Alligator mississippiensis: one gene and its partners. The protein of the gene in region 3 interacts with the protein of the main gene of each other region in a biochemical or structural test. Links are inferred from orthologs where the notes say so. Each region holds a gene or a part of one and is shown on either strand. Other genes may lie near its edges.

Evidence for each region.
Region 1: the proteins of PEX19 (region 3) and PEX13 form a complex in vitro, tested with the Homo sapiens proteins (2 studies listed by BioGRID and IntAct, with this or other methods). The link is inferred for Alligator mississippiensis from reciprocal best matches to the Homo sapiens genes PEX19 and PEX13.
Region 2: the proteins of PEX19 (region 3) and ABCD2 form a complex in vitro, tested with the Homo sapiens proteins (3 studies listed by BioGRID and IntAct, with this or other methods). The link is inferred for Alligator mississippiensis from reciprocal best matches to the Homo sapiens genes PEX19 and ABCD2.
Region 4: the proteins of PEX19 (region 3) and ABCD3 form a complex in vitro, tested with the Homo sapiens proteins (4 studies listed by BioGRID and IntAct, with this or other methods). The link is inferred for Alligator mississippiensis from reciprocal best matches to the Homo sapiens genes PEX19 and ABCD3.

Annotation. Positions count from the first base shown.
Region 1 is NC_081824.1:211,841,209-211,848,430, forward strand, and holds the start of PEX13 (peroxisome biogenesis factor 13), read left to right. Parts: upstream 1-4,220; 5' UTR 4,221-4,351; coding exon 4,352-4,425; intron 4,426-7,222. Other genes in the region: tRNA pseudouridine synthase Pus10, read right to left, coding at 400-525. UniProt on the Homo sapiens protein: Component of the PEX13-PEX14 docking complex, a translocon channel that specifically mediates the import of peroxisomal cargo proteins bound to PEX5 receptor.
Region 2 is NC_081827.1:29,209,098-29,216,922, reverse strand, and holds the start of ABCD2 (ATP-binding cassette sub-family D member 2), read right to left. Parts: upstream 3,019-7,825; 5' UTR 2,982-3,018; coding exon 2,079-2,981; intron 41-2,078; coding exon 1-40.
Region 3 is NC_081838.1:21,135,346-21,142,517, reverse strand, and holds the start of PEX19 (peroxisomal biogenesis factor 19), read left to right. Parts: upstream 1-4,156; 5' UTR 4,157-4,214; coding exon 4,215-4,260; intron 4,261-5,616; coding exon 5,617-5,723; intron 5,724-7,172. Other genes in the region: cilia- and flagella-associated protein 45, read left to right, coding at 1-214, 484-699, 1,282-1,429. UniProt on the Homo sapiens protein: Necessary for early peroxisomal biogenesis. Acts both as a cytosolic chaperone and as an import receptor for peroxisomal membrane proteins (PMPs).
Region 4 is NC_081828.1:34,237,258-34,244,616, forward strand, and holds the start of ABCD3 (ATP-binding cassette sub-family D member 3), read left to right. Parts: upstream 1-4,359; 5' UTR 4,360-4,413; coding exon 4,414-4,532; intron 4,533-7,359. UniProt on the Homo sapiens protein: Broad substrate specificity ATP-dependent transporter of the ATP-binding cassette (ABC) family that catalyzes the transport of long-chain fatty acids (LCFA)-CoA, dicarboxylic acids-CoA, long-branched-chain fatty acids-CoA and bile acids from the cytosol to the peroxisome lumen for beta-oxydation.

The DNA of each region.
Region 1 (7,222 bases), on a different chromosome or scaffold from region 3:
GAAGCATATTGTATTAACATTTAGTATAAAATGGCATTACAAATGGGTATGGATAAATGCAGAGGCGGTTACTCTGTATTTATCACAGAGAAGAAAACATTCACATCTTTCAAGATCAGATTCAATAATCACACTCCACTGACTGAAATGGTGGCATTCTTCCAATGCATCTATCAATAAAGCTACATTGTAGAAGATAAGAAGCAATGATTTTACCTTAACTTAAGTCTGCTAAACCTCTTCCTCTCAGGCCTGCAGATCCAAGTACTGACACCACCAATAACTGACTGGCGTTCATAAAGTTGCATATTGGAGCAACTAGATTAAGTCCAAGAGAAGTGTAAAAAAGCCCCACACTTTCGTGTTCTTATATTTTAATTAAAAAACAAAACAGGAAACCTTGTGTGGACGCCTGTAAGATTCCTGTGATCCCACACAGCAGAATCTGAAAACACATCGTGGGCAAGTGCCAGTATTCAGTAACAGCTGAGCAACAGGTCTGTCCTTTTCTGTCAGTGAAGACATGCTGGATAACCCTAAAAAAAAAAAAAAAAGCCAAATATGGATAGTAAGTGATTTTAATATTTACCTCCTAAACATAAATTTTCAGAGAATAGAAGCTATTTTAAAACCAACCTCCTCTAAAATAAACTTAATTCATTGCAAACCATAGAAAGATAAACTCATGTGAATAGGACCTTTGGGATCAATGCCCTAACTTTTAGATCACAGGTTGGCAACTTTTTTTTTTTTTTTTCGGGGGGGGGGGGGGGCGCGAAGGAAGATGTGGAAATGACCCAGCTTGGGTCTGAGGCAAGTCAGTACTAGGACTTGACTACCTCTGCTGCTTCTCCCTGCTGCAAGTCTGCAACAGTGGTGCAGGGAAGCCTCCCCTTTCATCAAAGCCCTGACTGCAGTGTAGTGCAGGGAAAGCTCCCTGCTGAAGCCAGGGCTCCACAAGCCAGATCCAGTCCATGAGCTGTAGGTTGCAGACCTCTGTTCTAGACCTTCAGATTAGTATGACTGGTTTGCTACGGTCTATCTATTCCACTAAATAATATATTATCTATGACAATTATACACATTATAATAATTGTGTATAATATGTAGGCACAGGACTACTGACCCAAAAGGAAACAGCTCTGCTTGCTGGAGGCTAGCAAATGAGACAGCTAGGCAGACTTGCTCCAGAGCTATGATTCTTCATTCTGGGTGTATCTACACAAGACATTTACTGCAGAGTTGCCTAATATACTCTACAGTAAAAGTCTTGACATACACACACGTAGCCCTATTAGGCCTCAGGAAACTGATAAACTCTGCAGCAGGGTAGTACCTGTAAATGCAAGTACTTTCCTGATGTGGAGTTTTTTCATGTGCAGCAGCATTGTTTATAAAGGGAGTTTTAGGACATCCAAGCCTAACAATGACCACCTAAAAATAAGTCACTTGCTTAAAACAAGAATTCTCCTACAATGACTTTTCTCCTAAAATTATTCTTTTATATGTGGGCATCTGAATTTAAGGGGATTTCAAGAATTTGGAATATCTAAAAAAGGGAGCACTTGGATTTCCAGTGATGCCACAAATAAGGCATTTGCTTAAGCTCATAACCACAGCCTGGCTGACTCCAGCTCAGCCACTTCTGTTTTGAGCTACCAAAGTAGCCTCCATCCACAAAAGGAAGAATCAAGAGAAGGGAGAGACAGACAGAAGAGCCCAAGGCTGTTTTCCCATCATCTGTAGGAGGACATCACCTCTTGCAACTAGCCTGAGAAAGAAAGGAGGCATTAAAGAAGCAAAGGAGATTCTTTGAGTAAGGATATAAAAGTGAATTATGTTTCAGAGTGCTCCCAAATGCCACTTTATAAGGCTTCCCAATTATATTTATTATGCAGTTATATTAATGGTACCCAGGTGTCTCAATCAAGGTTAAGTCCCCATGATGTTAGCTGCTATAGACAGCTGGAGAGAGAGAGAGAATCACTGTCCAAAGAGGTGTATGATCTAAAAGAAAACTAAAACTATACCCCTTAAATTTCATGCTTTACACACACACACACACACACACACAAAGTGTGTGCGCATGTGCAAAGAATGTCTTGCATTCAAAAACTTGTCTAACTTTATTTAAACTGCATAGTTGATCCAATAAAAATGAGCCTAAGAAATTCTTGCCTCTTGTAAAAAGAAAAAAAAAAAAACCACACTTAAGATGTATAGTTTGAGTTTATATAGCATATCATTAGGTGGGGGGCACCAATATACTGGTTGGCTAGCGGATCGGCACCGATAAAAAGAGAAATGACATTATCAGCTATTGGCTTTTCTTGGTCGCTGTAGCCAATAATTATGGCTGCATGTCCAGAGCACCCTGGTGAGCACAATCCAGTCCCTACATCCCACCGCCAGCTCAAGCCCGCAGCATACTACAGGTCCCAGAGAGCAGTGGGAGGGGGTGCTGGCGGGTGGTCACAGGGTGCCAAGCTCAGCAACAAAGGGACTGTTACTGGCTCCTGCTGCTACTGCCACTGCCATGGCAATGCTGCGCATGCCGCAGAAACCTAAGCACCGGGACTGCCATGGAGACGTTGGGCTGTGCACAGGCAGGGTAAGGCACCGCATGAGGAATATTCCGCTCTGCCGGGTACCAGGCATCTTTGCAAAAATGGCTTCTCCCTGGCAGCTGCAGGAGCTTGGCTTTGCAGGCTTGGCTTTGCGGCCCAGTGGTGCTGAGGTAGTAGACTGCTCTACAGCTCCCAATGTATCCAGCACTACTGTCTGCACAAGAGTCCATCCTGCCCATCTAGGACTGCAGCTCAGGGAGCAGGCCTGCAGATAGGAGCTGTGGGCGAAGGGGTGATGCGTGTGGGAATAAGGTGGTCACTGCCTTCCTCATCAAGGGTCAGAGCAGGCAGGTGTGCATGCATGCGCAAAATGCAATACAAACAAAAGGGTTCATTTATGTCAGTAGCTTAAAATCCTTGCATTATTATTAAATATTGGTTACGGGATCAGCATCGGCCAATATGCATGCTTAATCATTGGCTATTGGTATCAGCCAAGAAAATCTTTATCGGTGCACCCCTAGCTATTATTTATACATAGTAGGTATTATAAGGCACCTGTCTCCTGAGACAATAGGTCTGAGCTAAGTGAGGCATCCACTCATTGAACATCTTTGAATGTGGCCATAGAGCTGAGCTCTTGAGCGGCAGTCCCTTCTGCACTTACCACATGAGAAACTGAAGGAACTGTCACCCAAGAATTGTGACAGCTGTTTAGCAAGCTGATGCCTCACTCAGTGCAAGTCTGTGGTGTTGGGAGACAGACAGATGTCCTATAATGCCTAGAATGTATAGTTTTAGTTCACACACACACACAGCCTTAGGGGAGGGCAAACTGGGCGACCGCACTTTAGGGGCTCCCAAACTTTTACAACAAATGTCCAACTTGCTTATAGGTCATCAAAATTAAGCCTCAAAAAGGCCCCAAATGACTTTCTTGCCCAGGGCCCCAACAACCCTAAGGCCATCACTGTATACACACGCACACACGTATAACTTATACATATATACATAAACTACATCATAGTTTATACATAAACTAAATCTATACATCTTAAATGGAATTTTGTTTTGATATCTTCATATATACACACATATACATATAAGGATAACCTCGTGTGTTGTAGGTGCAGAAGGAACGATCACTCAATATATACTCCCTGTGTGCATACGCGTCACTCAAGATGCTCCACGTAGGCGTATAGCCACATACAGACATGTACATACGTAGTCACGCACACCCACACATACAGCGGTACATGCATGCACGCGACCCTACACACCCATGCACGTACACACCTATGCAGGAGGGGGCACGTCTGTGCGCGCGCGCTCGGATTATTTAACAGGCTTCCAGCTGGGCCTCACCCGCCTTCGCGGGACTGCAAGCTTCAGCCCTAAGCTCCACAGGCCACGTGGCAGCGAAGCCGCGGCGCGCGGGGACGGCGGGGTACGAAGGTCACGCCGCGCCAGCCACGAACCCGCGCCAGGCCGGGGTTGCCGCCTACCTCCGGGGGCTGCAATAGCCGCCACTGCTGGCGGACCACGCAGCCCTCGCGCCAGGGTGCGCGCGCATGCGCCCCGCCTCACCCCGCCCCCCCGGAAACAGGCGCCGGGCAGGCCAGAGCAGAGGCAGCCAGAGCTCGGGATCGAGAGGCGCGGCACTGCCCACAAGCGACTGCGGCAGTGGCCAGCTCGACGCTCCCCCCGTCAGGCCTGGCTGGGCCGCGAGCTCTGCAGCCGGGTGGCAGCTGCGCTCTGCTCCGCTCGGCTCAGGGCAAGACATGGCGTCGCAGCCGCCCCCCCCGAAGCCCTGGGAGAGCCGGCGCCTCGCGGGCACCGCCGCCCCGGCTTTCCAGTGAGTGCGGCCTGCCTCTCTCCTCCCCCCCACCCCGGCGCGGCGGGGTGGACTGGCTCATGCCGCTTCTAAAGAGATTTCCCCCCCTCCCCCGCGAAATGGTCTCGTCCAGGGCAAGGGCCCCTGCGCTGCGCCGCGGCCGGAGGCCCCCCCTCTCCGCGAGGGTTCTACCGCCCCTCCCCCCGCGGGCGGAGGTTCCAGGACGGTTGGGGCGTGACCAGCCAACGGGCGGTCCCTCGCCCCCCCCCCCCTCCCCCGGGAGGCTGGGTCCCCTGTGTAGGGGTCTCCCAGTCTCTCTCAGGTGAAGGGAACCGGTGGCTGTGGGCACTGCGAGGAGGCGGAGAGGGGCCCTAGCCACACGCTCCCGTCCAAACTGTAGTCTAAACCCTGCGTAAGAGGACCGCCAGCCCTGCTGCAAGAACACGCCCCAAGGTGCGGTGCCACCCCCACAGGTGCCAAGATGCCATAGCAAATGGTTTTTTGGTGGTCCCTCTGTTCGGGGTCAAACCAATTGCCATGTTGGAGGTCAGGGAGGAGTTTTACCTCATGGTCAGATTCATAGGAATCATAGAAATGAAGGGCTAGAAGGGACTCTAAAGATCATTGAGCCCACCCCACCCTGCTCTGGGAAGATTGGTCGGACTGGCAAGGTTTTTGCTTTGCTCTGCAGCAGGGGGTGTGGGCCTCTACCCAGGACCTCTTGAGCATATGTTGATAACGTTTCAGACAAGCAAGACACCAGCTGCCGGTTCCCTTGCTTTACCTGTGGCAAGTCAGGTGTTAGGTCTGTGTTGCATAAGGGTTGGCAGTGATCTTATGTAGAGCTTAGGTTATGGCTTGTGTGGGGCAAGTTGGATCAGGATGATCCTGCCTCAGGCAGGTGGATTGAACTAGAGCAGTGTTTCTCAAGCCGTGGGTTGCAACCCAAAAGTGGGTTGCAAGAATTTATGAAAGGGTTCTGAACGAACTTTAAAAATGATGGCACTTTAAAGGAGAAAAACGTGGAAAACCGCGGCTTTTCTCTTGCAGCCTGGCAAAGTCCCAGCCTGTGAGGGGCTGCTTGCCCCACCTTCCCACCCCCCATACACGCTGGGGCAGCAGCCAGTGGTTTAGGAGTGAGAGACATTTGATCAGGACTGGCCATCAATGTTTACAAATGGGTCCTGGTACAAAAAAGGTTGAGAACCACTGGTCTAGATCTCTGAAGGTCCCTGCCGGCCCAACTTATCTACGATACTACGATTCTCCCTGGGCAGGTTCCCAGCCCTGTTGCAGAGGGGCAGGCAGCCTTGTCAGCCCTAGGGTGCTTAAAGGGACAGAAGTCTATTGTTTTTGGTGGGTGGGTGTCATTTCTCTGTAACTCATCTTTCTGCCAGCAGTGGCTACCTTCATCCCTAGTCCTGCCGCATCAATATGGCAACAGAGAGTGGTGCCTGGGCTCACTGGGTAGATGATAAGGAGTTTTTTGGCCTTTTTTTTTTTCTATTTCCCTCTGCTACTAAAACTGTTTTAGCTGTCTTTTTGGAAGTATGTTTATGTAGTGGCTTTCCATGTCCCTGAATTCTGTGGTTGCCCTTGGCAAAATTTATGGGATAATCTCCTGGGCAGAGGGATTGAGTTATATCAAACCTGATGCTTTGAGACTGATAGATCTAGACCACCAGTGCCCAATTTTCACGGGCTGGAGGAGTGGCACAAACCAGACCACAGGCTAGATTCTACACATGGTCAGTGCATAGGGTTGGTGCGTAGGTGCAAGCCTGCATTCCTGGTTCCAGCCACAGACCAACCTCGCATAGTGGGGCAGAGCCACATTATCCAGCCCACCGCTAGATAGTGGAAGCTTAGCTGTCACCACTCCCCCTACCACGGATGGGCATTTATTTGGGCCTGAGGGCCACATAGGGAGTTTTGATGAGCTGCTGTAGGTCGGGTCAGCATCTTTCTCTACCTCCTGATGCAACAACTCACCAAAACTCCCTCTGAGGCTTTGGGTGGGCAGGGACCAGTGTTCAGGAGCAAGAGGGTTGGCACGCATGTGCATGGGGTGGAGGAGGCTGCATGGGATCCAGCTGGGAGTGAGGGGAGGTGGAAGGAAGCATGCAGCAGAGCTCACCCAGTCAGCAGCTGTCCCCACAGCACTCCACATGGAGCCGAGTCCCACCTGGGACAGCCTGTGCCATGATCCCACCCACACCCACTGGCCTGCACCCAGCCCGGACCCGGGTCAGTGCACAGCTTCTGGTGGGGCTGTTTCCAGTGCGGCTGCAAGCAGACAGGCTTGCAGGCTTGTCACTGGGAGGCAAAGGGAGTACAACAGCACCCAGCCAGTTGCAACTGCATTAGGAACAGCCCCACTGGAAGCTGCATGCTGGCTGGAGACCAGGCCAGCAGGAGTGTTGCGCGGGCTACCCTGGCTGGAGCGGATGAGACTTGGCCCCATGTGGGGGCAGCCACAGGCCGGATCTGGCCCATGGGTTGTATTTTGCCCACCCCTGCCCTAGCAGCAAATTTTTAGCCCTTTGGGGAGCCTTGTGGGCTGGAAGACAAGGCCTCACAGGGTAGATTGTGAGGCCCACAGGCCTCACATGACCTCACGGGCTGCTGATTGAGCACCATCGGTCTAGACAGATCTGGAGGTCTGGACTCAGTACTTCATGCTATGTGGGTTAGTACACAAAGTACATGACCATTTCCTCTCAGTGCATGGGTTTCAGATGACATGATAGGTCCTGTCTGCTCTGATCATATGTTAAAACAATCCCATGATGCTTTTTTCATAAAAAAGCACGGGTCA
Region 2 (7,825 bases), on a different chromosome or scaffold from region 3:
CCAAAGCCTTGTAACTTTTCTGTAGTTGTTTCATTTCTACCTATAGTTAAAAATGGAGATACTAAAACAGTATGACATAGATACTCATACTTACAAAGTACACATACACACTCATGATGCAATCCTATATCTACAGTTGAATTTAAATCTTTTTCTACATCTTGTAAAAGCGTGTGTGGTATTTATACAAAGTATCACCTTTCATATAGTCTATGGACCAAATTCCTGTCTACAGTGAAGCTCCTTTGCAGGTCTGTACCCCTTATGATGCCATCTTACACACCTGGAGAACAATGCCCAAGTCATAAGAGTTGCTCCTCACAATCCATGGAAGTTTAATTAATGTTTAACACCCAGAATGGTTTCTGTTCTTGGAACTTTATGAGCTGGGCAATGCTGGTGACTGATGTAGGGATTAAGTTTGCTAGTCTTACTCAGTCTCACTCCCATTTGCTCTGATGGGAGTTTTGCCTGAGTAAACCTATAGAACTGATATCTTGACCTGATTTTTAATAACATAGCAAGCTGGCTACAGAAAATGATAATTTATACCATTTACCTCAAACAGCTTAATGAATTGCATGTGAAGTAGGATATAAAACAATCTGGCTGAAATAACATAGTAGTGATGGGAAAGAAAAAACTTCTTAGTTTAGCTGCTGTTAATGCAGTGTGACACAGCTTCAGCAGAGCCTTGCCATTATAAACATGAGCTACTCATGTTGTATTATGAATAACGCTGACTGAAAAGAGCAGTGACACTGCAGGCCATTTTTCACTGTTCACTTCCGCATGAGGCAGAACTCCTCCCCCCCCCCCAAATCTCTCTTTCCCCCCCAAAAGATGTTCCTGCCAGAATTCGCATCAGATAAAATTAGGGCCTGCTCCTCAGCTAGCATTAAAACAACCAGCTACTTTTTACATAACCCTGATTGCTGGGGCACAGTGTTGCACTTCTGCTATTTTAAGGCTCTGCAGACACCACTTCTTGATTTAGCTACCAAAACCGTGGCAAAGGTCGCATTGCCTTCTGCCAAAAAGCAAAATTCACCTTTGCATCGCCTTGCAACACTGTTGCCTTTGCATGACATCATTTATGAGAGAGAGGATTTCAGCACCCTGAAAGCGCCTCTGCTTACACTTGTGAGGATAAGATTAATAAGAAAAAAATAAATAATAAATTTATTATTAAATAAATAGTAATTATGTAGCACTGGTGAGGCCACATTTGGAGTACTGTGTCCAGTTTTGGGCCCCCACTACACAAAGGATGTGGATAAATTGGAGAGACTGGCAGAAAGCAACAAAAATGGTGAGAGGGCTAGGGGACCTGACTTACAAGAGACTGAGGAAAATGGGCTTATTTATTTAGTTAGACTAAGAGGGGATTTAATAGCAGCCTTCAACTACCTGAAAGGAGGTTTGAAAGAGGATGGAGCTGGACTGTTCTCAGTGCTGGAAGATGACAGCACAAGAAGCAACAGTCTCAAGTTGCAGCAAGGGAGGTTTAGGTTAGATATTAGTGAGACTTTTCTCACTAGGAGGGTAGCAAAGCGCTGGACCAGGTTACCCAGAGAGGTGGCACAAGCTCCATCCTTTGGAGGTTTTATGACCCAGCTAGACAAAGCTTTGACTGGGCTGCTCTAGTCGGGGATGCTCCTGCTTTGAGCAGGGGGTTGGACTAAATGACCTCCTGAGGTCCCTCCCAACCCTCGTTTGCTATGAAATGAAAAAGAATGAATGAGAAGAGCCTGCCAGGGTTTAAAACAGAAGACATTAGGAGAAGCTCCGTTTGGAGGAGCCTCTCAGGGAGGATGAAAGAGCCGTGGTGCAGCTCAGAGTCAGCAACGGGGCCGGGGGGAGGAGGGGGGGGTGGATCCTACAAAGCTGCGGCAGTGCTGGGTACTGTTTTTTTTTTTACCAAAGCCAGAGCAAGCCGTAAACAGGCTTCGGAGTCAGAGGAATTCAAGCCGCTGGGGTGGAGGGAGGGGGCTGATGGGCAGCAGATCCTATCTGCCCGCGCTGCACCTGCACCAGCACCCGCACCCGCCGCGGGGGCCGGTGCGCGGCCGCCCTACCTTGTGGCCGCGGTAGAAGGCGATCTCCTCCACGTTGGCCAGGATGCGGGCGTGGACGTAGCGCAGGTAGCCCTTGCGCTGCGCCTCCTCGGCCACCAGCCTGCCGAAGCGGGGCGAGCAGGCTTTGAGCACCCTTGCCGTGGCGTACACCACGAGGCCGGCCAGCAGCGTGGGGCCCACCGGGCTGGCGCCCCGCTCGCGCGCCGTGCAGATGAGCGCGTAGGAGGTGAGCAGCACGTCCAGGATGGGCTTGGTGAGGTTTGAGTAGAGGTGCGCCACGGACTGCGCGAACAGCATGATGTCCTCGGTGAGCGACTGGTCGGGCGTGGGCAGGCGGCCGTCCATGCCGCTCACGCGGTAGTAGGTCTGGTGCGCGAAGTAGGTCTCGTAGGCGCGCTCCACCAGGCGCGTGCGGAGCGCCAGGGCCAGCTTGCCCTCCAAGTAGCGGATGGCGCTGTTGACGAAGGTGGCGGGCACGGCGATGAGCAGCCAGCGCAGGAGCTGCAGCGCGAAGCGGCGCGGCTGCTTCTCCACGATGCTCTTGACGATCTTGCCGTCCAGCCGCGCCACGTAGATGGAGAGGAAGGTGCGCGACACCAGCGCGGCCGAGTGCAGGCCCAGCCAGCCCGCCTCGCGCCCGGCCCCGCGCGGGAACAGCAGCCGCCGCAGCGCCAGCAGCTGCCGCACGAACTCCAAGTTGGCCGCCGGCGCCGCCCCCGGCCCCGTCCCCGGCCCCGTCCGCGGGGCGCCCCCGCCGCCCGCCTCGCCCAGGCGCCGGCGCAGCGCGGGGTACAGCAGCCGCAGCCCGCACGCCGCCGCCGCCAGCCACGCCGCCCGCCGCGCTGCGCCCCCGCGGCTCCACGGCCCGCGCCCGGCGGCGGCCGCCTGCGCCAGCGGGCTCATGGCGGGGCCGCTCCGGCTGCCAGCGCCTCCGGCTGCAGCACCCTCAGCCCCGCTCCGCTCCGCCCCGGCCCGGCCCGGCCCCGCTCCTCCCCGCTGCGCTCATTGGCCGCGGCCGCCGGGGGCGGGGGCGAGCGGGTCCCTCAGCCCGTCGCAGCCGCGGGCGCAAAGAGCCGGCGGGATAGGAACAGCATTCTTCCGAAAGAGCGTGCCCTGGGCGCGCCAGAGGCGGAAGCCCTGCCTCGCCTCGCCTGCATTGGGCTCGGTTGACCTGGCACGCGAAGCATTTTCCTTAAAAAAAAAAAGAAAAAGAAAAGATCCTGAGCGACTCTGGGTGCCACAACGCCGCTCCCACAGCCATTGCAGAGGTGTAGAGGGTGCACGGGCACCCCCTGCGAAAAGGCGCTGCCGACACTGCTTGCGGGCGGTCGCCGCTCGCCACCGGCACGGCCGGCGGCATCTGCAGGCGGTTCGCGATCCGCTGCCGCCGACAGCGCCCCCGCCGCCTCGTTGTGCCCCCCAGCCCCCAGGGGCACGCGGCATTCAGGCCCACAGCCACGGTTCTCCTGCCTTTTCCATTTCCTTCTCTCTGCCTGACTCCCTCTTCTTGTTCCCCATTTATTTCGAAGTCCAGTTTAGTCAGAGTATAGGATGTACCGGCCTATAATAGTGCCATGTGTCTAAGAAGCCCAGGGGCAGGGGAGCCTCCCCACTTCAGAGGAGCAAGAAAACTACATTTCACTTTAATACTGCTTTTATCTACACAACTTTAATATACAAAAACTATATACCACATCTTCATGTAACTCCTATCATGTTACAAACTTTACAAACAAAACAAATCAGCTGAGAGCAAAAACAATAAAGACATTACTTTGAACTTGAACCTGCTGAACCCCATCAATTCTGAAATGACAGGTTTACAGGAGGACCTGAATGGTCATGTCATATAACCCCCACATTGACCCCCAGAGATAGAGCAGGAGAAAAGAAAAAACATTCAAAAAAGGTTGAAGCTTTTTCACTAGTTTAAAAAGCAAAGCAGTGAAGCAACAGTATGGATGTGACAACATAACGGGTTCCTACATTTGGTGGAGATAAGAAAGAACTTGGAGTTTGGAAAAAGTGTTACTAGAAATACACAAGAGTACCGAACCTCGGCATCACAGACTTGCCTGGAAGATGTTTATTAACATAAGGCTGCTGAATGGGATTCAAACTAACTGTTCTGTAAATCAGGTTGGGCAGAGCTCAACTAGTTCATAGTCTTGTTATAAAACAACCTCTATACGCAGAGAGCAGTTGTGACATTTAGTGAGCAACTCTCCTGTTTCAGACAGGAAACACAATCTTGTGCTACTCCTGCAGCAGCTGAGCAGCAGTCTCCTGAAAATAAGGCCTAAAACCAGACAAGTTCTAACATATGAGCTACACTTCTCCTTTCCCCTAGGAGGATGTTTTTCCATCTCCACTTTCAGTGTGTAGCTCTTGTTGATTAAAAGGCTTAGGTAAAACAGATGGGAGCATAACAGTGATGGAACTGTAGCTGTTTAAATACCTGCAGCTTTCAGTATTGTCAGGGGATCCTAGAGGCTTGGGTAGATGCCTTTTTCACATCTTTTGGGATTTTTGCTGTACAAATCAAAATAAAATAAAATTATAGCTTAGAAAATAGTTCTATTGACATTTGAGATAGAACAGAGTGCAGTAACTCTTCTTTGGTCAAACTGAGCCAGTTGCACTAGCAATTATTTTGTCAGTAAACAAAGCAGATTGCATATGATTTAAAAATACACAGGCACTAAGTATGAGGAGTTAAAAGTGCCTTGTTTAGGCAGTCACTTAAAGTTACTTTTAAAAAAATTGCAGTTTTCATTTAGTTCCATTTCCATCCTTATACTGTTTTATGCCTTAGTCACAATATCTCTTGCAGCTGATATGCCAAACCGCACTGACTTGCAACATTCCACTGCCCTAGCACTTTTTTAAAAGGGGGAAAGTTCATAGATCCCTATTTCACTTCTGCATATCTGCTGACTCTTAGCTGTACAAGAGCCAGGGAGACTGAAGCTCATAGTGAGTTGGTATCGGCAAGAGCAAACACACGTGGCAAGGTCAGGCCTGTAGGGGTATTAAATGAAACAAAAATTACCTGAATATGCAGTGCTGTAATCAGAGCAATATCTTTTCTTCCTTTGAAAAACACGAGAAAAGTCTGAATTGCTGTTTTAATTGCATTCTTTTTTCCTCCTCTTGGTGCCCTGTTTTTCGCTTTGCTACTGTCCATCTTCTTAGTCCATAAACAAATTACTCTTTGTGGAACATAGCTTTCATTCGTAGAACTGATGACTAGTAATGACTGGTGAGATCAGTGCATCAAAACATAATACAGTAATATTCAGGTACTGCTGATGAAATACTGACCAAAACTCAGTAAAAGTGATATCCTTAAGATAAAGGCTATGCCCAATTTCTACTAACCGGGTACAGTTACATGAGACCTTTACCGCGGAGTTGCCCAATTAGCTCTGCAGTAAACATCTCAGCATCTACACGTGTGGCCCTATTAGGCCACAGGAAACTAACAAACTCTGCAGCAAGTTAGTACTGGTAAACACAAGTTTTAATCTGCTGTGGAGTTTTTTCATGCGCAGCAACACACGTGTAGATGCTGATCCAGCTGGCTGCCACACTGGATCACACTCGTGCCCCAGCCAGCCCCTCAGCACGTTGAGCCGGGTCAGAGCAGCCCTAGAGCCCACACATCTCCTGCCAGCCAGGGCTGCTCTGACCTGGTTCAATCTGCTGTGGTTCCAGGCACACATTCAAATGGGGCACCTAGGATCAATAAACTCCCATGCAATAAACTCCCATGTATCTGGGACGTAGCGGAGAGGATCCCAAAGCTTATCTGGCCCTCCGACCACTACACTATGCTCCTTATCCATGTGGCCATGAATGACATGTCTCAGAGCAATCCCAGCCGGGTCATGAGAGACTACAGGGCTCTGGGAGCGGGGCTTAGGGGGTTGGGGGTGCAGGTGTTTTTTTCCTCACTCCTCTTGGTTGTGGGTCATGGACTGAGGAGGGACTGACGGATCAAGGTAGTCAACCAAAGACTGCAGTGCTGGTGTCATCGTGAAGGCTTTGCCTTCCACGATCACAGTCTGCTCTTTAGTGAGAGAGGCGGTGGTCTGCTGGGGAGAGACAACCTCCACCTCACTCCACTGGGGAGGAGGCTCTTCTCAGCCCGATGGCTGGGAAATTGGCTCTGAGGTCGGACCCAGAGAGGTAGTAGTTGATGGAAGTGAATCATTATGGCACTCTGTGACCCGTGGTGTCCCCCAAGGCTCTGTCCTTGGACCAGTTCTCTTTAACATCTTTATCAACGATGTGGACATTGGAGTCAGAAGCATACTGGCCAAATTCACCGATGACGCTAAACTTTGAGGCATAGCGTCCACACCTGAGGACAGGCTAGTGAACCAGGCTGACTTGGGTAAGATTAGAAAGTGGGTGGATATAAAACTGATGACATTCAATACCGAAAAATGCAAGGTACTCCACCTTGGGGGGAAAAAACCTGCAGCACGCTTATAGGCTTGGCAGTGCTATGTTCACTAGCACCATGGCTGAAAGAGACATGGGGGTCATGGTTGATCACAAGATGAACATGAGCCATCAATGCAACATCGCAGCTGGTAAAGCAAACAAAACTCTGGCTTGCATCCATAGATGCTTCTCACGTAAATCTCAGGATGTCATCCTCCTGCTGTACTCAGCCTTGGTGAGGCTGCAGCTGGAGTACTGCATCCAATGCTGGGCTCCACAATTCAAGAAGGAGGTTGAGAAGCTTGAGAGAGTCCAGAGGAGAGCCATGCGCGTAATCAGAGGGCAAGAGAATAGGCCTTATAAAGAGAGGCTGAAAGCCATGGGACTCTCCAGCCTGGAAAAGCATAGGCTCAGGGGTGACCTGGTGGCTGCCTATAAGTACATAAGGGGTGTACATCAGGATTTGGGAGGATGTCTGTTCACCAGAGCGCCCCAAGGGACCAATGATCATAAACAGGAATTGGAATGTGGGATGAAGGAAGTATATCCAAGGATATACTTTTCAGGAGTTTTAAAACACCTTTGATATGATATTATAATATATTCTTTACTGTGGTCATTTAAATTATAAAATCATGTAAAATTTCCTAAATTTAAGGCAATAGTTCAATTATGTGGTTTTCTACAGATTAGTTCTGAGATCTAATGGAGGTTGTAATATCAGAGAGTGGGGTTTCTGGAAAAGTTGTTGCAGCCTTGGAACTCATAGGTATGGCTTCATGGGATATGAAATTAAAATAAAAGGTGAATTTAAAATAAATGTGAGCTATCTGTCCCATAGCCTAGGTATTTTGGTCAATCAACATTGAAAATACTTTTAAATTTTAAAAATAATTTAATATACAACTATAAATGAAGTAAGTATATTTCATATACTCATGTCTGTTTGTATGCATAAAATACACGTACACAGAGCAATGATTTCAGTGTGATTTGAGAAAGTTTGGTGTCTCTTATGTAACTGGTCCTTTTATGTCTACTTAAAATAAGTATTTATTTTGCTCTTTCTTTTTAGTGTTAGCTAATAAATTATGTGTCATCTTCATTTTGGAGGACTTTTTAGTTTTTCTGTTGCTCTTATGTATGCTAAGTATCAGGATCTTAGATTGTACAAACATTCAGAGATTCAGAGATGCTAGGGTTGGAAGGGACCTCAACAGATCATCGAGTCTGACCCCCTGTCTGGGCAGAAAAGAGTGCTGGGGTCAGATGACCCCAGACAGATGCCTATCCAG
Region 3 (7,172 bases):
GGAGCAGAATCTCCACCTGGCTTCTTGCTGCCTGGGCAGTGCAATCAATGCTTCCCTCCTGGCAGGATGCTCTCCGGGTCAAGCAGCATCAGGAGGCCAAGGAGACGGAGTGGCTGTACAGAGAGATGGAGGCCATGCTGAAGCAGAGCCACTTGGAGCGTGCCTCGGTCATACAGGCACAGCAGAACCGCAGCTCTTTCCAGCAGATCCTCAGGTAGTGCGAGGCGTGGCCTGGCCCCAGGATGACAGTGGGGTTGCAGGCCCTGGAGAGTGTGCCTGTGGGGGAACTAAGCTAGGGCACATCAGGCTTGCCCTCTGCAGCTCTGGCTGAGCCTGGGGTGCACAAGCTGCAGTGGAGACAACCTGGCTCGGGTAGACATAGGACCCCATGTATGCGGGAGGGGGTGGGCCAGCCCCAGCAGGAAGGTCATGGTCTTTCCAGCCTGGGCTGGCCCCTATCACCAGCACTGGCATTTCCCCCAGGGAGCAGGCACTGAAGGAGCAGAGGCAGCAGGAGAAGTGGGCGACCCAGAGAATGGTGGATGCCAAGGACATTCAGCACCAGATGCAGAAGTATCAGGAGAAGCTGGCATGTGAGCGGGTTGTCTCCTTTGAGGACAAGAAGCATCTACAGAAAGAGAGACAGTGGCATGCTGACCACATTGCCCAGCTCAAGAGGCAGAGGATAGAGGAGCTCCGGTGAGGGTGGGACTATGTAGGGGCTGGACTGTGGGTGCTTGCAGGGGTGCTGGTCTTGGGGCGTCGCCCACCACATCTGGCACAACTCATGCTGTCTCTCCCTTTGCCATGTCCTAGGGCAAGCTGAGCCCCTGAGACTTGCCAGCTGGTGCGGGAGCAGGGCAGGGGGCCCAGGCCCTGGGCTAAGGGCAGGACGGCTGCAGCAGGACTGGCCAGGCCAGTGGTGGGAGCTGGTTGGGAGGGCGGGAGGCAGTTCACCTTACTGGGTGCTGCACCAAGCTGCCCTTCCTGCCACCTACTCTGAGCCTCGTTTCTGCCCTCCATGCTCCCGTGCTCACTGGGGGCTGGCTGTCCCCATGGGAGCAAAGCCAGAGCAGAGTCCCTCCAGCTGGGCTCAGCCGTCACCTGTTGTCACAAGTCAGCCCTGGTCCCGGGGGGCCAAGGTGCCAGATGTGTTGCTGAGCCCCTTGGGGCTGGCTTTGGGCCCTGGCACAGATGGAGATGCCATGGCAGGTGGCCCTGTACCATGTCTTGCTCCATGGCAGTGGTCTGGGCTCTTACTAGTTTTTTTCCTGTTTCCAGAGCCACCAGCCCACCCGAGAAATACTGCCTAGGTGTGGAGTGCGTGGGCTTGATGAAGCCAGGCCCCAAGGACCGAGGGTCTCTGCGCACTGCCCAGCCCATGCCAGGGGACTTCCAGGGGGTCATGTGTGGCCTGCCCCCAGCCTAGACTGTTTATATTCTTGGATTTAGAAATTGTAAATAAATGTTTGTGAAGGTTTACCATACGTCTGGGTTTTCCTGGACATGTCCACTTTTTGGATGCCCCCATCTGGGTGTTTTTTTAAAATATCAGCAAATGTCCAGGATTTTGCTTTACCTCTGCCCCAGCAAAGGAGTTGCTGGGGACAGCGGGGAAAGGTGATTGGAGGCAGGGCATCACATGCAGCCGCAGGCAGCTGAGAGAGAGAAAGCATGTGTGTGTGTGTGTGTGTGTGTGTGTGTGTGTGTGTGTGTGCCCACACATGCTGAGAGAGAGAGAGGGTGTGCGTGTGTGTGTGTGCATGTGTGCGTGGGCGTGCTTGCCAGTGCTGGGTCTGCAGCAGAGTGGGGGAAGGGAGCGGAGGGGTTCTTCGGGGGCAGCAGGGCTTGGGGGGGCAGGGGGCTGCAGGTCAGGAGTGAGGGGTATCAGCAGGCCCTGCTGCCACTGTGTCCCACTGAAGGAGGAGAGTTGGACCTCGCCCAGGTTTATTTTGGAGGCTCACTGGTGCCCCTGGAGTGCAAGGCTCCATTACAGCAGAAACTTAGTGCTATGCCCAAGGTCTTCTTGCTCCACGAATGAGACATGGGGTTGGCCATAGGGATAGAGCACCACATACGGCTACAAGACACTAGAGCATTTCCTGAACGATCACAGAGGATTGCACTTGCCTTCCATGCGCTGGCTGCCCGGCCACAGAAGGCACGTGGTGTCGTGTGCGGCTCCCCATGTTCAGACCCCAGCATGCAGCAGCAGCTGCCCCCACCCCACATATAAATCTGGGGGGGCAGGTAGCCCCTGTGCCTAACCTGGGGTGCACACAGGTGGGAGTCTCCCTGATGCCCCGGCAAAGCCTATGTCATCCCAGGCAAGATAAAAATGGGCTTGGGATATGACGCTGAGCTCTGCAGGCTGACTGTGGCAGGCGGGTGGGGGTGCAGAGCGACACCGAAGGTGGGGCCTGGCTGGGCCCGTGCAGCTCCACGAGGGGATGCCACCTGGCTCAGGGGGGCTTTCAGCTCTGGGCTTGGCCTCCCTGCACACTGGGCACAGTGCGAGCAGGGCAGAGCCATCCCTGCTGCAAGGGCCTGGCCACGGGAGCACCTGGGAACAGCTGCCTGCAGCTGCCCCAGCCTGCCTGAGCCCTGGCCCTGCCCACCTGCAACTGCCCTCAAGGGGCTGGGGCCAGGGCAGGTGCTGCGCGGGGGCGGCTGCACTGCAGGCTCCCAGGCGGCTCAGCTCTGAGCACTGCCTGCAGCGGCTATTTCCGGAGCCCACGGAGTCCATGCTGTGGCCCAGGGGGCTCTGTCCAACTTGTGCTGCACCTGGCATGCACAGAGCCCAAGCCAGGAGAACCCCGAGCCTGGTGTCCTGCCCCGGCCAGGCAGCGTTCCCTTGTGGGCAGGGTGGCTGTGACCCATCCCCGTGGGGCTGCACAGCCTGGGCTGGGCCCCACCTCCGGTACTGCTGAGCATCCCCCCTGCAGCCCGAGTCGGTGGAGCCCCAGGGGAGCCCCTGCTCCCCACCTGGCCCCTGCTCATCTGGCTGCAGCCTTCCCAAGGGCCAGCCAGGCCAGCCTGACTGCACTGCCTCCCCTGTCCCCCCCAACACCTGCTCTCCCCATGCCTCTCCCTTCTCTTTTTTTTCTCCATCTCTCTCTTCCCTCCCTCTCTCTCTTCTCTTTCTTTCTCCTCTCTCTCTCCCCCATCTCTCTTCTCTCTTCCTTCTCTCTCATCACAATGTGCTTAACAAAAAAGAAGACACAAGAACAAAGGTAGCACATGAGGTTTTATTTATTGTCACCAGGTTTAGAATTTTGAGAAAACCTGCTATTTACTGTAAAAAAAAAAAAAGAAGAAGCAGCCACATTTATGATTATTAACTATATTAATCTGCAGTGTGTCCTGCCATGCAGCCCCCACCCCAGGTTTGTTTTTCTGGGGTGTCGGCACTCTGGCACCTTACAGCATACACAAAGCAGTTTTTTTCAGTGCCCTGGCCGAAAACGTTGCCTACCCCTGGTTTACACCGTCTTTTTTTCCAATTTACAATTGTTTTATATGGCTACCGTAACCGGTAAAACAATGTTTTATGATTACTAAAGGTTTTGATGTTGTATTAATACACAGCCTGTTACCTATGTGTATGAAAAATTTGCTGGTGGTACTTAAGCCTGTAGTGCATGTACATGGTTAATAGGATTCACATGGACTTGGAAGGACTTCTTTGAGGTGACTTTGCTGGACTTTTTGAAGGGTTCTCGGCTGCTGTGTCTTCTCAGGAGTCCCGGCGGCAGGTTTTTCTGGAGTCTCACCTGCTTTCTTAAAGAAAGAGTCCAAGGAAGTTTGCACAGATGAGTTGAGCGACGCAGTGAACTTGTTCGCCGGCGTGGCGTCGTGTCGGATCAAGTGCCATAAAGTCGCAACTGAGGTCAGAAGTTGAAACAGGGCGTCCGTTTATAAACGTTGTAGGTGGGAAACGTTGCAACTCGAAACGTTGTACAGCGCTGCGCCTAGTCCAGCGGACAGGGCAAGAAGTAAAGCGCAAGAAGCGCAACCGAGGCTGCGGACTGCGCAGAGCTGGACGCCCGGAGCGGGTCAGCCCAGGCAGCGCCGCCCCCGCCCACCAGGGGCGCACGCGCGCCGCACGCGGGGCCGCATCCCACCCACACGGGCGCAGGAAGCCGGCCGAGCTCAGAACGAGGCGGGGGGCGGGGTCTGCGGTAGCTCCGCCCAGCTGGGGAGGCAGCGGCAAGATGGCGGCGGCGGGGCCGGACCGGGAGCTGGACGACCTGCTGGACAGTAAGGCCGGGCGGAGCCGGGGCTCAGGGTTGCGGGAACTTCCTTCTTCACATGCGGGGGCCGCCGGGTGCGGGAGCGGGGCGGGAAGGGGCCTCCTTCTCCTCCCCCGAGCCGGGTCTTTGTGCCCCCTCCCGGCACGGCACGGCACGGCACGGCTCGGCTGCCCGGCCCGCGAGGAAGAGGGTTGTGTTGTTCTCCCTGCGGTCCCATCCTCTTTGCACCCCCCCCCCCCCCGCAGCTATTCACCCCCTGTCTTCTCTAGGCAATTGTTGTGCCTTTGTTTTGTTGCCATATGGGAGAGACGCCAGCCTCTGACGTTGTCACGACATCAGAGACGTTCCCTTCTTGGCACGCGCACGTGCCGCGGGTTAAAAAACACGGCTCTTTGCAGAGGTGCAAATGGCACGTGTGTGTGTGTGTGTGTGTGTGTGTGTGTGACACGGTTTCCACGATGGCGCCTCTTGGGAGCACTGCCCTGGTCAGCCGTGTGCAGGGGGTGTCCGACGGGCCTCTCAGAGGTCTAGAGCAGACGCCAGCATCCGAAAGGCAAACCCCTCCTGTGGGTGCAGCAGTCGGCGTTTCCAGGTGCTGCAGCTGAACCTGGCTTTAAGGCGCTGACTGCCAGCAGCATTTGAACCCAGAGGTCCCCGGAGACCAGCACCCCCCAGCGAAGCAATAGGGGCCCAAGTGCTTCGGGAGGGGAGTGGAGCTGCCGTGTGGCCGTGCCAGCTCCTCCCGCCTTGGCTGTTGGGATGCTGAGCCGCCTGGGTCCCGGCTTCTGCAGCGGCCTTTTCGGGGGTGCCAGCCTGAGCCTGAAGAGCTTGATTTAAAAGTAGGAGTGGGATTTCAGAGCACGGGGCAGTCCCCGTGGAGGTCAGGGGCTGTCGCATCCTCTCGCAAATGCTGTGTCGTATTCACTCGGAGCCAGTTGAATCCTTTCACCACCCCTCACTCGGGAACGTTGTGCAGGGATGGCTGCAGTTACGACTGGGCAGCTCAGGCTCAAATGCAGCTGGTGCGACTGAAGGAACAGTTATGTCACCCGTAGGTCGGTGACGGTGTGCTCACATCCCTCTGTCCCCAGTTGAAGCTGCATCTCATCCGCAGCAGGTCTGAATCCCCTTAGCTTGGAGAGCAGTGCGAGGGACTGGCTGGGCGCTGGTGCAGAGTATGGCTCTATACGTGACATCCAAAGACATGTAGTGAACTGCAAACGTCTTGGCTGGCTTCCTCCATGTCATGCTGCTCAGGACTGCCCTGGTGTTGTGGCCTTGGTCTGACTTCCCTTATCTCCCCCTTGTCTGGGACCTGTGTGGTCTTATCCCCTCATCTGAGCTCTCTGCTTTTGCCCTGAAGGTGCTCTTGATGACTTTGACAAGACCAAGCCGGCCCCACCACCCCCAGCGACTGCCGGAGCAGGAGATGCCAGCAGTGCTGAGAAGTCTCCTAACGATGCTGCCAAAGTAAGAGCAGTGACCACCCATGGCTGTATGGGCTGGAAGGGTACGGGGAAGTATTTCCCTTGTCTTAAGCTTGGGCAGAGTTGTTGAACTGGGAACACGTAGCATTTTCTCCCACCCAGTTGTGCAGGGACAGTTGCGCACTATTCAGCATCTTCATCAGTGACTTGTGCAAGGGGGTAGAAAGCACCCTGTTCAAGTTCGCAGATGACACTAAGATGTGGGGTGAAGTGGGTACACTAGTAGGAAGGAACAGGCTGCAAGCAGATCTAGACAGGTTACAGGGGTGGGCCGAAGAGAACAAGATGGGGTTCAACACTGACAAGTCCAGGGTGCTGCACCTGGGGAGGAAGAACCAGCAGCACACCTGCAGCCTGGGGAACTCCCTTCTCACCTGTGTTGAGATAGAAAAGGATCTTGGAGTCATTATTGATGCCAAAATGAACATGGGCTGACAGTGTGGGGATGCGGTCAGGAAGGCCAACCGTACCTTGTCGTGCATCCACAGATGCATCACGAGCAGGGCCAAGGAGGTGATCCTCCCCCTCTATGCGACACTGGTCAGGCCACAGCTGGAGTACTGCATCCAGTTCTGGGCGCCGCACTTCAGGAGGGATGTGGCCAATATGGAGAGGGTCCAAAGGAGGGCCACCTGCATGATCAGGGGTCAGCAGAGCAGGCCCTATGAGGAGAGACTGAGGGACCTGAACCTGTTCAGCCTCCAAAAGAGAAAGCTGAGAGGGGATCTGGCGGCAGTCTGCAAACTAGTCAAGGAGGACCAGCAGGCATTGGGAGAGTCCCTGGTCCCCCAAGCAATCCTGGGAGTTACAAGAAACAGCGGACACAAGCTAGCGGAGGGTAGTTTCAGGCTAGACATTAGGAAGCACTATTTCACTGTCAGGGCGGCTAGGACCTGGAACCAGCTTCCAAAAGAAGTGGTGCTGGCTCCTACCCTGGGGGTCTTTAAAAGGAGGCTGAAGGAACATCTGGCCGGGATCATTTGACCCCAGCACTCTTTCCTGCCATGGCAGGGCGTCGGACTAGATGATCTCCTCAGGTCCCTTCCGACCCTATCAACTGTGAAACTGTGGGTGGGTGGGATGGTCTGGTTCTGGAGCCAGGCACCTCAGTAGCTCAGTAGCCACTTCTCTTCAATCTCATGTCATTGCAGTTGACTGGTTTTATTGCCAGCCTCAGAAGCAGGCTCTGGATGCCCTTGTGTCTTGCATTTACACCTCCGATTTGCTGGGGCACATGTTGAAAGATGAGTCCAATGACAGCTGCCCCAGTCCAGTCAAGCTCAGTAATTGGCAGGTGCTTGGGGTAAAGTTCATGACTTCCAAACATGGTGGGCCAACAAGTGTCCCCAGAAATATTTCCCATTGTGGTAAATGCATTAGGATCCATCTGTGGCAGGGTCTGGGCTGAGCTCAGATTCCTGGAGCGAGATCT
Region 4 (7,359 bases), on a different chromosome or scaffold from region 3:
GTCCCAACTGGCCCTGCCACTGCTGCTCCCGAGGGCACAGGCCCTAGTAGTTATGCCTCAGAAGACCATAATAGTTGGGTTATTGCAGAAGACAAACAGATGACAGAATGCCAAAGAAAATCATGCAAACACAGCCATGGTCAGTCTGCCCTAGAGGCTGGCAGCCAACTAGACGGTTAGATACTGGGGCACAGGGGACCATGGCCAAGCTGGACTTACTGGATAAACAAGCCTGGAAAGGAATGAAAGGTGACACTACACTCTGTATGTCTGCAAAGATGACCTGAGATGAAAAGCAGCAGCAGTTTACTTGTAAAGCTTCAGTGAACCCTTGGAATCAGAACAGCACTCCTTTTTTCACAATTTAAATGATGCAAATTATTTGACTTAAAATGATGGAACTGCCCTTATTTATGTTCCTACAAAATGTATCTGTTGCTATGAGGTCTAAGTATAAATGTGTAAGTAATGCATGTGGTCTACTCAGCAAAAGAGAATAAAACCTTGATGCGCATGAATTTACTAACAATATTTTGCATATCTGTCGCATTTTTCTTCTGAGGATCTTAGAGCAAGCATTTTTTGTGATATCTTTTATTGGACCACCTCTACAGTTGGGAGAGCTGGTGGACAAGCTTTTGGGCATCAAGGGCTGTTCTTCAGCTCTCCCAACTACTGTATACACTTGGTCCAATAAAAAATATCACAAAAAATCCTTGCTTCTCCAGCATTTTCATTCTAATATAATAAAAAACCTTAGTGTGTCTGTCTGTCTGTCTGTCTGTCCATTATGCTTTATTCATGCTCTGACTGGTTGTCTCGGCAGCCAATCACAATGCTGACTAAAACAACCGATCAGAGTGCTCTGCACAGACAGACACACACGGCACAGCGTCACCATGCTGGCAGAAACTGAGGGGCCGAAGTAGGGGGGTGAGGCCAGTAGTGCTGGTCTGCCCCCTGGCCCTGCTCCTTGGAGGCGGCGGCAGCGCAGGGTGCTGGCAGTGCAGCACTGGCCTCGGCTCTCTGCTCCAGCCTTGCCGCCACATCCAAGGGGCGGCCACGCCCCACTCCAGCAGACAAACAGGAGCAGAGGATGGGGGACACAGGGGGTGGGGGGGGCCACAGGGCCGGAGGCAGAGTGGCTGCAGCGCTCCATCCCTGCCTGCTCCCTCCCCATCATTCATGAGAGGCAATTTGCTAGTTATGGCTATAACAACACTCCAACTCTATTTATTCCTCAAAGCACGTCTGTGATCTTAATTTAACATATGTAAACACTGAATCATTGTGAGTTTTCTGACTTACCTAAAGTCACATATAAAGTTGGGGTGGGGGGAAAGGACATGAATCTAATACTCAGAATCCAATACTCTAGAAATAATCTAAAAAATGTATGCCCTCTCTCTCTGTCAACTTTAATTTTATATAATAACGATGCTCTGAAACTCTAGGGACTGGGTCATCTTAAATTTCCCAAGAGAGTGTATGGTGCCTGATAATGCAAGAGAAGCAAAAGGCAGATGCACTATATCATTCATACTGAAGAATGACAGAGAAGCCTAGAAAACTGGGGGAATGGAAACAATGGAAGCACTCTTGGGCATGTGATTGCTTTTACCTCTTCCTAGTACTTTCTTTTGCATCCAGTGCAAATTCCTATAGTATGCCAGCTGGGGAAGGGAATTGAGTAGATTTTTCTAAAAGTAAAGGGCAAGTGTGTGTATGCTGCAACTAGAATAGAGCAACTGGTTCATCTACTCAGGGCAAATTCTGTAGTGAGGCTTTCCAGGGTTATCTGTCTGAGGGTTAGTCTACATGCTGACTTGCAAAGGTGTGAACTGAAAGCCATGCAGCTATTTCAAAGTAAGTCTGCATATGAACACTCCCCCTCTCTCCCCAAGAAAAGTTGATAAGCCAATTCTAGCAGAAGCATATTCAAGAAGGGGCCAAGGGAGAATGCAGTCACCTAATTTGGCAGTGCCATGGCCTGTGCAATGAGTTCTGAGCTCACTGCCTGGTCAGTATGAGTGCCTACTGGAGCCCCATATAACCAGTGAGGACAGGGTCTGGCCAGAGTCACCATTTTTGTAGGGCTCTGGAGCCTGGGGGACTGCTACTGCTGTTAGCCTTTCCTTTCTCTTACCCTCCCCTCTGATTTCAGCAGCAGGGTAGAGAGGTGGGCAGTAGCACTTACACTCTGGGCCCTGAAGCCACATGAAAGCAGGAGGTCTCGGCACACTCCACACTGAGAGTTCATGTATAACAGCTGGAAGTGAATGCAATTACACCACCACATCCTCACTGGATCCTAGCAAGGGCCTGTTCTACACTACTGTAACTATTTTGGTGAGAGGATGCAATTTCCTTTCCCACTTTGAAATAATTATACCAGTGAAAGTTCTACTGTGGTCTAAGTTATATAGGTACACTGAAAGCATTGCCAGCTTAAAAATGTTGGCAAGGAATTTGAGTTTGGCGATATTTCACAACCAGTAAATAGCTGTAGTGCAGTAACTGCTTTTGCTGGTATCACTTTTTTTGGTTTTCAGATTGACATAACCTCCACCAGCAAAACACTTTTTGATAGCATAACTGCATCTATACTAAGAGTATTTGCTAGTATAGTGATACAAGCAAAACTTTTCTCATGTAGACCTGATACACTGGTAGAGTTTTTCTCTTTTCTATAAGAAAGTAGTTATAGAGTTATAAAGCACATCTACACTGCTGCAACTGTGTCCACACAAACCATTTCTTCAACTAACTAGTTAGCTGATACTCTGATGGTATCCGCTTCGGGTATGTCATAGAATTATAGGGTTGGAAGGGACCTCAAGGGTTAATCTGTCTGGACCCCTGTACAAATGCCAGAATGCTACTCCGAGGCTATTCCTGATCAGTGCTTGTATCCCCGTTGTCCAGTACCCCTGTGCAGTCTATTGCACTGCCTTAGTATTCTAACAATGAGGAAATTTTTCCTGATATCTAATCTGAATCTACTTTGCTGCAATTTAAAGCTATTGATTTGTGTCCTGTCCTCTGGGGCAAGGGTGAACAGTCATTTTCACTTTTTTATGGCAGCCTTTCAAATATTTGAAGATTGCTATCAAGTCCCCACTTAATCTCCTTTTCTCTAAGCTTTCCCCATATGGCCTGCCTCCTAACCCCTTTATCATTTTTGTCACCTGCCTCTGAAACCCTAACTTCTCCATATTCTTCTTAAAATGTGGACTGAACACAGTATTCTGATATAACCAATACCAGGTAGAGTGGTACTCCTACCTCTCATGTCTTACACTTAATACTCCTGTTGATATGGTACAAAATTTTGTAATTGTGCCACGTTGATGACTCGAGTCTGTGATCCATCAAAACTTCTGTATCAGTGATTCGTAGCCAGAGTGCCACACGATATTAGCATGGTTGGATATGCACGCAGGAGTCACAAGGTAAACTCAGGTTCCAAATACGAATCCACAGTGTCAAAACCATTCAGGCCTGTTGTGGTCTTTCTGGCTTCTTTGCAACAAACAAATTGCTCTGTTTTTTTATTTGTAGTAAAAAAAACAAGTGAAAACTAAGAGCTGGCATTCTCCAAGGGGCACCTCAAGTCTTAAAAAGGCTGAAAATCATTGCCCTAGATTCTTCCTAGCAAGACTGGGAAGGCTGCCACCCACCTAGTTATCTCCCATTGTTTATTTAATCATTCTTCCCCAGCTGCAGCATCTTACGTCTGTCTGCACTGAACTTCCTTCTGTTGTCTCCAGCCCAAGCTATCAAGAGCCGTCTGAACGCTACTCCTATCCTCCACTGTGTTCCCAGTCCTTCCCAGTGCGGTGTCATCTGCCAGCTTGATCAGGAAGCTCTTTGCTCGGGCATCGCTCGCTAGCAGAGGACCCCGGACCGCTGTGGGACACCTCCCGGTCCGACCCTTGCCCATTCGGCCTTGCCCTTCGCTGGCGGGTACAGGACCAGTCACCTCTCCACCTCAGCGTCATGTTATCGGGTCTGCGTTTCTCCAGGTCACCTGTGAGCACGTCATGTGGGACTGGATGAAAAGTCCCCTCCTCCTCACAAGTCAGAGCATCACTTAACAAACTTGCAGCAAAATGCTGAAAAAGCTTTTAATCCCCACCTTGTACCAGGGCGCTGCAGGCCTGTGAGCAGGACCAGCCCTCGGGTGAGGGACAACCTTCACCTTGGTGACAGGTGACAGCTCTCCCCGAGGCGCCGTCTGTTGTCCGAGGCTTCCCGCCGCCCGGCCCGGCCCGGCCCGGCCCTCCCCTGGCCCCGGGCCCGGGGGCGGGCGCTGCTGTCGCAATCGCCGGGCGGCTCCCGGCATCCCCCGCGCGCCGCCCGCCTCGGCTCGGCTCGGCTCGGCTCGGCGAGCCGGCTGTGCGGCGCTCCAGCATGGCGGCCTACAGCAAGTACCTGACCGTGCGCTACTCCACCATGGCCGGCGCTACCGCGGCCGCCTGCGCCCTGCTCTGCCTCCTCAACAAGCGGCGCCAGGAGGCTGCGCAGCACGGGTGAGCGCTCGCGCGGGGCGGGCAGCGCCTGGACCCCGGCCCCATCCCGGGCCCTGCCCTGCCCCCGGCGCTGCCCGCAGTGCCCCAGGGGGAAGTGCTGCAGGCGCGGCAGTGCTGGGCAGCGCGGCCCTCGCCCCTGCGGGCCGGGGGGTGGTCTTAAACCCCCGGGACACATCGGGGAGGATGGAGCTCGGCCTCTTCCCACCTCCCGCCCCCCCCCCCCCGTTTTTGCTGCCCAAACGATAAGCTAAGAAAAGCAGTGAGCAGGAACAACGAGCAGGAACAGGTCCCCGGGGCTGAACAGCACCTCAAGATGTGGGCGCTGGTTTGCGTGAAAGCAGTCAGGACAAGAGCCTGCGTGTACCCATTGTGTGGCTTTTGGGGCGCTTGGCTGAATTGAAGAAAATAACAGCCAGGCAGTTTAATCTCAACAGTACATTTTTTAATTGGAGGTTACTCGCTCTAGACGGGGGGTTGCTCAGCCTGTGGGCCAGACCCAGCTCCCAGAGCCTCTTTTTTTGGCCTGTGGGGCTGCCCACAAGTTTGAAAATTTGGTGATGGGGAAAGTTTGCTGCTCCCCTGCTGCCAAATTTCCAGGCCTGTGCAGCACTTCCGTGGGCCAGATAGCATGGCCCTGTATGCTAGAAGATCGGGCACTCAGGCACCAATCCCCGGTGCGTGCGGCCAGTGAAGGGCATGACACAGATGAGCAGTGGTCTTTTTTGGTCCTGTGGGCCCCTGGACAGTCCCAGGAGCTGCTCTTAAATGTTGAGTAGAATGGCATATGTGGTTGGGTGAGGAAAGGAGAGAGTTCTTGCTTTAAAAGGCAGTTTTTAGATCATTCAAAAGCAATTTTGAATCAAAATAATCTGACCCTCATCTAGCCCTTTCTCCATGTCCAGTTTTTTCTTGCATCGTGGCTACTGTAATCTCATTTTTTGGATCCTTGCCTTCCTCAAATCCATTTTACACGCTGCTTCTGCCAAAGCAGTCTTCATTGCTTGTCAGTTTGTCACCTTCCTTCATTGGTGGCTGTTTCTTCCCTGCAGCATTTTATCAGCCGCTGGCTATGAAACTTAGAGTACCCTACCTGTTAAAAGCCTGGCAGATGGTGAACAACAGTTCTTGCATCACTAGCCTACGTACATATCCTCTTATTAGTGTTGCCTCATCCTCCCTCCACCCCATCAGCCTATGTTATACTAATTTGCTGAATCATATCGTTAATGTAGCTATACTTGGAGCAGGGGTAGTCCTTTTATCAAGTTTTTTCTTTTTTTTATTCTGTTCAGTTGGGGCTTGCTTGTCATAATGAAATACACATGGGTTTACCATGTTAATAGTGATACAAATCATCCAAAGCCCTGTGTACCATCTAAATCTTGTGGTGCTCTTCTGCAGGATGTGGGTTCTGGGGAGTAGAGCAAGCAGATGGGCTAGATCAGGGGTTGTCAACCCACAAAGCTCATGGACTGGGAACTCACTGGCATTCAGTGGAGCAGGGACTCTGCCTGTGCTACACTGCAGCTAAGTGGCAAAAAAGTGGCCGGGGGAGAAGTTGTGGTAGCAGCAGGATCCTAGCTTTGGATCCGAGCTGGGTGATTCTAGCCTGCTGCCAGAAAATGTTGCTGAGCCTTGGGCTAGAGAATTTCTTATCACAGCTTGTCAGGAAGAAAGCTCTTTGCAGGTTGTGAACAGGTCTTATCTAGAAGGGGCAGTGGGTCACAGTGTATAGAATCTGAGTAAGGAGCAATGGCTACCCTTCACCTTGTAGTCTGGCCTGTTTCCTTCTCCTAATTACTTGATTGCTTGATTACATTGTCTCTCTGCAGGTAAAAGTGAATTTTACCCTTTGAAAAGGTCTGGTTTCAACATTCTGTTTGGGGAACAACATGAAGTGTGAGGACAGGCTCATACTGGGGTCGATTCAGTGGGATAGTTATACCAGTTACTGTACCAGCAAAACACTTTTATTGTGGGTGTGACTTATACCAATAAATCTGCCCTTTTCTTGGCACTTTTTTCATACCCTACCCTGCTCTTTCCAGTGTATTAAAATAAAATGTACAATAGAAACGCATCAATGCTGTCCATTTTTGCCAACACAGCTTTGGTCACAAACCCCACTTCCTCACTTCCCTGACCAGAGATTGTATCATATATCTGGCCTAGGCCGTGTTTTAGGAATAGTATGATATGAAGCTTGAAGAAATATTAAAGAATTATTTGAAGCATTATTGGAACATAATTTCATAGTGCCCACTCTAACTTTATTATATACTATATTTACTCAAATCCAAGATGAAGATTTTTCCCCATTTAATGTGGGGAGATGGGTCTTGTATTGTATTTGAGGGCCATGGTTGGAGCTGCTGCCTTGCTGGGGCCAGAGTGGGTTTCATAGATTTCATAGACATTAAGGCTGGAAGGGACTTCATGAGATCATTGAGTCCAGCCCCCTGCGCAAAGGGCAGGAAGTCATTTGGGGTCAGATGCTTGCACCGCTTCTGGAGGGAGTCTGTTTCAGACTCTGGAGACTCAGACGTAAAGTATTTTAGATTGGGCATAAGCAAAAACTTGTCTTCCAGCAATTTGTGACCATTGGACCTCGTCTTTCCTTGGTGCCCAGGTGGACAGATATTCTCCCAGATCCAGATGCACACCCCTGATATACTTATATCAGGTTGAGGTGGCTTGTGCAGTGGGGGGGCATGGGGAAGACCACACAGTGGTGGGGAGTGCAGGGAGGAAAGATGCTGGGGAGTCTGCTCAGAGTTGGAGGGGGGCAGTTTAGGAGACAGCACAGTGCAAGATGGGGGGAGCTGGG